2 linked regions of the Caenorhabditis elegans genome follow. The protein of the gene in region 2 interacts with the protein of the main gene of each other region in a pairwise test. Each region holds a gene or a part of one and is shown on either strand. Other genes may lie near its edges. The genes, in order: gei-4 and rhgf-1.

What was found.
Region 1: the proteins of rhgf-1 (region 2) and gei-4 interact in a two-hybrid assay, tested with the Caenorhabditis elegans proteins (one large-scale study listed by BioGRID).

The regions. Positions count from the first base shown.
Region 1 is NC_003281.10:346,769-350,691, forward strand, and holds the start of gei-4 (BZIP domain-containing protein), read right to left. Parts: upstream 1,660-3,923; 5' UTR 1,633-1,659; coding exon 1,450-1,632; intron 1,397-1,449; coding exon 1,277-1,396; intron 1,142-1,276; coding exon 1,073-1,141; coding exon of another isoform or gene 920-1,072; intron 670-919; coding exon 271-669; intron 116-270; coding exon of another isoform or gene 101-115; coding exon 1-100.
Region 2 is NC_003284.9:10,710,098-10,714,020, forward strand, and holds the start of rhgf-1 (Guanine nucleotide exchange factor), read right to left. Parts: upstream 1,773-3,923; 5' UTR 1,762-1,772; coding exon 1,638-1,761; intron 1,319-1,637; exon of another isoform or gene 1,192-1,318; intron 1-1,191.

The sequences.
Region 1 (3,923 bases), on a different chromosome or scaffold from region 2:
GTTGACGAGCCGCCTCCGCTTTTTTCGCATTCTGCGTCTTGATGTGCAACCGGACAGCCTCGTCGTCCTTCTGTGGATCTCCTGTAGCCATTCCACATGCCTGAAACTCCGATTTCTGGAATGTTACGTCACGGTAGCAGCGGAAAAATTACAAATTTTGTGTGTTAGGGAGGAGAGATTTTACCAAAAATAGATTTTCACCCAATTAAATTTTCCTCTTCTCCGCTAATTTTCCAGATTTTCTGCTAGAATTCAATGTTCTATATTCACCTTAATCGCGCTCATCGCGTTCTGCATCTGCCGCATACGTCTCCGCGTATTGTGCGCCCGGCGCTCTTCCGGCGTCATTCTAGCGTAACGTGTACGGGCGGCCTCTGCCCACTTGGCCCGCATTCTCTTCTCTCTGAGCTGTTCGGTGATGTCCGGATCCTCTTGAATGTCATTTGTCTCCCGCAAAATCGATTCGAGCTCCTCCATCTCCTTCTCACGTTGCCGTTTTCGCTTCTGCGCCAACGTTCTTTTCAGGTTTAACTCTCGTTTCTCTTCGTTTGATAGTCGGTGATAACGCATTCGGGCGGCTTCTGCCTGTCGCGCCTTCTTTACTCGATCCTTCTCGCCTTTGTCGGGTGACGAGGAGAGTTTAACATTCATTCCTTCTACTTGTAGGTCCTGAAATGTTTCTGAGGTGTGCTCGGTGAGTTCGCTGCGTGATTTCATTCAATTCGTGTTTTCAGTGTGTTGAAACTTAAAATTCGCATTAAAACTCGAGAAATGGACAAATTCTGCTCGATTTCGCATCTTGGGTCTGCTAAATATTTAGCATACCCAACTTGGGCCTGCTAAATATTTAGCATACCCACCTTTGGTCTGCTAATTATTTAGCAGACCATAGTTGCAAAACTAAGCAAGTTCCAGTAACTTATCGACTTTTTGAGCAAATTTTTTGAAAAATCCGCTCAAATGCGAAAATCCACGCGGATTTCGAGCTGCAAAATTCAAAATTCCTTGAAAAAATCACTGAATAACACGAAATTCTCCCCAAAAAAAAACAAAGAAAAAACAACGAATTTACCACATCTCCTACTTTCAACTGAGGTATTTGTTGATTGTATGATCCAACTGATTGTTGTATTGAAGACATCTATAAAATAAATCACGATTCACAAACACAACCACAATTACGATAGAATTTACGGTAAAAAATGAGGAAAATCGAGATTTTTCGAGATTTCCGCCATTTTTTTAAGCCAAATCGCACGATTTTTACGATTTTTACCTGAACTGGCTGCTGATTATTCCACGACGTTGATGTTGAAGGTGTCGTACTGTCGATAAAATAAGCGTCAAGCATATTAACTAAACTCTTCTCTTCTCCCATCCGCCGCTGAGGTGTTTGCTGAAATTAAATAAAATTGAACATTTTCACTCGATTTCCTGAAAATCCCCTACCGTCACTGAATTAGGTATAAAAGTTGCGGAATTAGAGGAATGAAAATTGTTCGCATTTGAATTTGAATACGTCGTCGGCTGATAGGAGTTCTGTTGAAATTGCGATATTCCGTGTAGCTGCTGATTTTGATTACCGCCCGAGCGGGGATCCGAACTGTATGTGTATTGTATATTCTGCTGCATTTTTTATTATTTTTTGTGTTTCCGAGCCTGAAAAAATTGGAATTTTAGGTTTTTAAGCTAGTTTCCGATGAGAATTGCGATTTAATAAGGATATAATTGTGCTGGAAACAATTTTAATCACTTGAAAAATTAATTTTTTGAAGAAAAACCAAGGAAAACCAGGAAAACCAAAGAAAAATAAGAAATTAAATGGAGAAAGTGAGAAAAATAGAGAAGCAGATAAGTTTCGAATTCAAATTTGCCGGAGTGTCACTGGAGCGCACTTGCCTCCTTCTCAATTTTTCGAATTTCATAAGACTAGAATAATGAAAACACTGCTTAAAATGACTGGAACAAAAGAAGAATACATGAATTTTGATTGAAAAATTGAAAAATAAAATTGAAAACAACGTATCTCACTGCAAAAGCTTAAAAAATTCTTATTATAGTCCCAGCATGTACTAATTTCGACGGAATTGCGCCAAATTTTCACTGATCCACGTGGAATTTTCTGAATTTTACTGAAAATGCAAAAATCTTAGTTTCTTTTCGTGTTGGAGCTGTGTGCACAGGTGCCCAGGTGCACTGCTTGAACATGGTGGCCGTGAAAGAGAAAACTCGGTCAGTCCCTCTAAATCCTGCGGAAAAGGTCCTGCTGATCCACTTTTAAGCTAGTTTCAGCAAATCCAGAGGTATTTTGGGTTCCAGAGGCAGAGTTAGCATTCTAGAAGAGCAATGAATTTTGGTGGCCGACCTTTTATATCCGCGGTCCCCACGAAAAAGTCTCAGAGTGTCTCATTTCGGTTTGATCTGCGTAGATCTACAAAAAATGCCGGAGTTGAGGCGCAGAGTTCTCAACTGATTTTGCATGGTTAAGAACTTGCTGACGTCACATTTTTATGGGCCAAAAATTTCCGCATTTTTTTGTAGATCAAACCATAGTAGGACAGCCTGACACCACGAGGGCCCCGTATCCAAGTACCTGAGCCTAAAGCCTAATGTAATGGTTCTAATACCGTCTTCCAATTCCTATCGCTGTGGGTTCTCTGAAAATCCCTCCGAATTTTCCCATTTCACGGCCAAGGCATCAAATCCAACCTGTACCTCTCCGTTTCAAGTCGATTTTTAGAATTCAAATTTGTCCTCTTCGCGCCTAAACCGCCCATGCTCTTCCCATCATCACTGTTAACCACACTATTTTGTTGCCTGCCTGCCTTCTGTCTCTGCGCTCCCAAAATCAGCGGAAAAGAGTGTGTGATGGCGGATGGATGCGGTTGGGGATGGTAAGAAGAAGAAGAAGTGTAGGGAGATGAAGGGAACAAGACGGGGGGCAAAAAGTAGTAGTAGTAGAAGAGGAAGAAGACTAAGAGAAAACGAAACATATACACAAAAGAAGAGGACGATTTGGGGCGCATAGGACGAGAGGGAGGAGAGATTGGAGACGGGCGGGGCATTGTGTACGAGGGGAGGCCGACCGCGACGCGGAGACGCGTTGCACACTCGCATACACAATGCGCGCTGCGGAGAGTCCAAACATCACTAGACACTGTGCCGAGTGGCGGAGATCACGAGACACCCGGCACGAGAGAGCGCGCCCGTCGTGGAGTGTGTGTGCTTAGAGGCCGTGACGACAGCGTATCGATTGTGGAGAGTGCGTGGAGGAGTGCCGAATGAATGGGTAACGTGATGCGGAGAGAAAGATGGGGAGAGATGGATCGGAGGGTGCGGCAGACTCGAAAACAAGAGAGGCGAATGACGGCCGACAATAACTCTCAGGCACTCTCAGTGAGGAAAGAAGAAGGAGAAGAAGCACAGGAGATAGTATAAGGAGAGGAAGAGGAGCAGAACTTGGCTTCTACCGTATTCAGAGGCTATGATATCAGGCCTCTTGGGTCTGTTAAAATAGAGAACCCAGGCCTTAGAAAAGCTTGAAAGTTGTTGGGGCTCTCCAGTAGTCCTGGATATACCATGTGGAATCAGACTAGAATGGAGCTCAGGCTATCCTTGAGGCACTAGGAACTTCTGGAAATTCTGAACACTGAGAATTTTGCCTAGGCTTCTACCGTATTCAGATGCCATGAAATTAGACCTCTATCAGACCTCTAATTGGGCTTTGGTCTGTTAAATAGGGGCCTATCGGGGAACCCAGGCCTTAGAAAAGCTTGAAAGTTGTTGTAACTACCGGGGTATTCTTGGATATTCCAAGTGGAATCAGACTATAATGGAGCTTAGATTATTTTTTATTTTGCGTCTCTGAAATAGATAGCTCAACCTGTAAAGAATTCGCTGAAAGTCAAAAAGTTCCCACGAAG
Region 2 (3,923 bases):
AACATTATTTATAGTCACATGAAACCTTAGTTCGCGCAAAAGGGACTTGTGTGAATTTTGAATTGTTTTTCAGAATGTTCTTTTGGAAGTCAGAGCTATAAAAAGTTGAAGAGTGTTCGATCAGATTTGAGGTGTTTGAAAAAAGATAAGACCCATGTTTTGAAAAGCATATTCAAACTTTAGTTTAACAAAAACCACCAAAAATCAAAATGAACTTCAACTGCTAGGTTTTGTGTATTATTATGGAATAAAACTTTAATTTGTAATTTATGATCCTGATGTCTAAGCAGAAGTGCAAGTGGGACCATAGTTTTTGGCGGCAATTCATTTTTTTTTCAAAAATAAATAATGTTAGCAAATGTGCAAAAAGGAAATTTCTCAAACTGGATTCAGCGCAGAATTCAAAAAAGTTTTATCTGAAAGTATGCCGGTAACACGACAACAAGCAGATTCTCTGAAGCCAATGTTCAAATAACATGTAGTAAGGTTTTGCGCGTATTCGAAGGTTAATTTTTTAAGTGTGGCGCAAGAACGACAACAAGCAAAAATTCAATGAAACATAAACTACAAGACTGAATAGTTGATCACTTTCATGAACTGGAAATTAGTTATTACTATTTTCAACAACTTTTCATAGAATGTATGGAGAATGCGAAGAATATTACCAAAAGCTCGTGGTTTTCTTCAGATTTTTTAATAATTTAATAATTAAATTTTTCAAACTGCAAATGTTGACATCCCCTGCCGACTTCAGATCAAAGTTTCTTGTAAAATTAATGTGTTAAACGTAACGATAGGACAAGATTTAAACAACAACTGTGAATATATTCTTCAATGGGAAGTTTGCGGATTTTTTTTCAATTGGCACTCAAGTTGCATTTAATCCACTTCAAGGCTAACGATTTTAATCTTGTTTTGTAAGAAAATCATTCTGTCAATCCCATCTCTCTTAAAGTATTCAGAAAAGTTTTTAAATATCACTCAGTTTTCTATTCAAATGAATCAGCAATCAACAAAGAAGTTGACTAAACAATTTCCACAACAGATTTGATCCTCTTCCTCCGTTTCATCTTTTTCTTTATTCTCAGAAAACCCAGTAAACTGATGCTCTGTTGCTATTGCAAAAGGCACCCCGCCAAAATTGTCACAACAACGCCTATTGAGAACACAAGAGCAACACGACTCTTGGGAATATAACAGGAGAAGGGGATAACTTTCTGCCAAATTTAACATGGGATGAGTGGGAAAAGGGAAGAAGACATATACACACAATATATCCCGTTGAGATTTCAATCTTGAATGCTGTTGAAGAGGTTGAAAAGAGCAAGTGAGCTAGATAGGCTACAACGAAACACTGCTTTTAAGCAAAATAATTTTTGATGGAACTACAAAGTTATGCACTTTGAACACTAAAATCAACGTTTTCAGTGTTTAAGAAAAGAACTTACCTTTGTGTGTATTCTAACGAATACTTTGTTTTCTTGCGTTCCGAATAAAACGAAAAACAAAACTCATAGGTCTAAAATTATGGAACGAATTGAAACCAACAGTATTTCGAGTTATGATGAAGTTTAAAGTTCAACCCTTTTACCCAATTCGAAGGACAAGGTAATTGTAAAAGTGCAAAAATGGCTCACCGGTTGATGGGGATAATGGCTGCGATAAGGGTACAGTCCTTGTGACAGCCACATCGTCGACGAGGTATACTTTGTGCCGATCAAGTTTGAGTGGTGTATTGGTTACAAACTCGTACGATCGCATATACAGTTTCTGTAAAAAGTATCAATAATGGCAAACTGAGAAGAACTATAAATGCCAACGGAATCACGGAGACACAGAATGTGAGTGAATGGACGAATAAATTCTCTCCTCCTTAAGAAATCGAGCCCACACACGCAGCAAGTGTGCGGAAGAAGAGAGGAAGAGTGCTTGGTGCGCTGATTGCGGAACGAATGTTTATATATGACAAAGTGACGCTGTCAATAGACAGAACCAAAAACTATTGCTGAAGGAGGGGGGGGGGGGACGAAAAGCTTCAAGAAGGCATGGATTTTTGTTGGTGTATTCTGGTTTAGTCTCAAAACAAACTTATATGTGGAGTTAGAAGTGACAAAACGCTAAAAATTCCACGGCAAATCGTTGAGCAAAATATGCGAAGATGAAAGTTGAAAAATTGTTCCAACACGCTCACAGAGGACAAAAAGTTAACCTGCTCGTCGAGTGGGAGTGGAAATCAAATGAACGAACTCAGAATACATTGTTCTTCTTCGTCTGGTCATTCAAAGAATAATAAAAAGGTATGAACATGAATTTTCAAAACCATCGGTATACATATAAAATGAAACCTAGCAAAATGGTTAGTAATAAAATGCCAGGATTTTATGACAGTTACTTTGAAGTCAAACGTGCATCAAAATCAAAACTATCACACTGAATTAAATAACAACTAGCCAATCTTGAAATTAAAAATTGGAAAATCTTCATTAACTGAATAACTGACTAACTTCATAACTGAATGTCTTGGATAGTTTCCATGAAACTTCAAATAATTCGAAAACAAGTGATTAATTTTAAAAAAACGCGGGTGGTCTTCAAGGTGGGCTCGCGAAATTCCCACCATTACTTTGCTGACGTCATTCTATTAATCACACAGGAATTTCTTCTAAAAAAACTAAATATTCCTAAAACATCAGCTTCTGTCAAGATAAACTGAAAAATAACATGTTCACTGAAGAATTTTCAAAAGAGAAACATGAAAGGCGAAAAAGGAAACAAAATTCACATGTTCTCAATGTTTGGAGATGTTTTTTTTAGAGCGGCGAATATAAAACTGCAGTTGTAAAGAAAAAATGGCAAGTTCATGAAAGGCTGGCTAACTTTAAAATATGACCAATGAATTTCAAATAATAAATATATTTCAAACAGATTCGAAAACTGGATATTACAAAATTGATATAATTTCTAAGAAGCATTTTCAAGATATGCAACATTTCAAAAGTTATCCAGTGTTTGAAGAGAGGCCCGTATAAATAAATAATTAAAATTCTTCTTGATTCCAAGAAAAAAGCAACAAAAAAATTTACTGGCAGTGAAGTCCTACTGCTCACCACCGGCACCATCCTGGGAAAGTGTCTCTCAAGAATCGTTCAAGATACATCAGATGGAAAGAAAACATTAAAGAGGTTGTACGATGAGAAGCAGAAAGTTCACACGCCTAAAATTGCCGTTGGGAATAACGATGGTGGTAGGTCCTCCCGGACAAGTGAAGAAAAAGGAAGGGAGCAAAAAGCAAATCTACTTGTTAGAAAACTGATTTCTCAACGCACTCCGGCTAAACTGTGCCGGCGGCGGCATTCTTAATAGATTGCCAAGATGCATATCTCAATACGTATCGCCATTTGACGTTTTGGGGACAAGAGCATGAGGCTTATCCTCGGCATCCTCATGAACTGGACGATGCCGTTGGTGTCTGTGCTCACCGCTACGTCTCGGGTTTCAGATTCAGATATCGAATACACGCTTTTACACACTCTTCGAATTTTGAATATATCTTTATGGAGAACGAAGATGATGAGTAAATACTTTTGGCATTTGCCTCCGTCCCACCACATCGATCTTTCGATGCAGTTTTCTTCAGTTTTGGTTTCAGATTACTCACAGATTTGGCAACAATAAACAACATTTGTTTCGGCTTGAACAGTTGCTTAGTTCAAGGCTGAACATTGAAAAATGTGAAAACTTTGAGCATCATGTGCCTTCTTCTTGTTTTATATCACATTTGGTTTAAACAAAATAAAGCATGACAGCATGTTTAACGTATAACATAAACATGAGAACGGTGCAGTAAATCCGAATGTGTTTCACAATGCGTTGTAATAGAAACTATCATGAAACAATTTTCAAAATGTCTTTACCAAACTTTC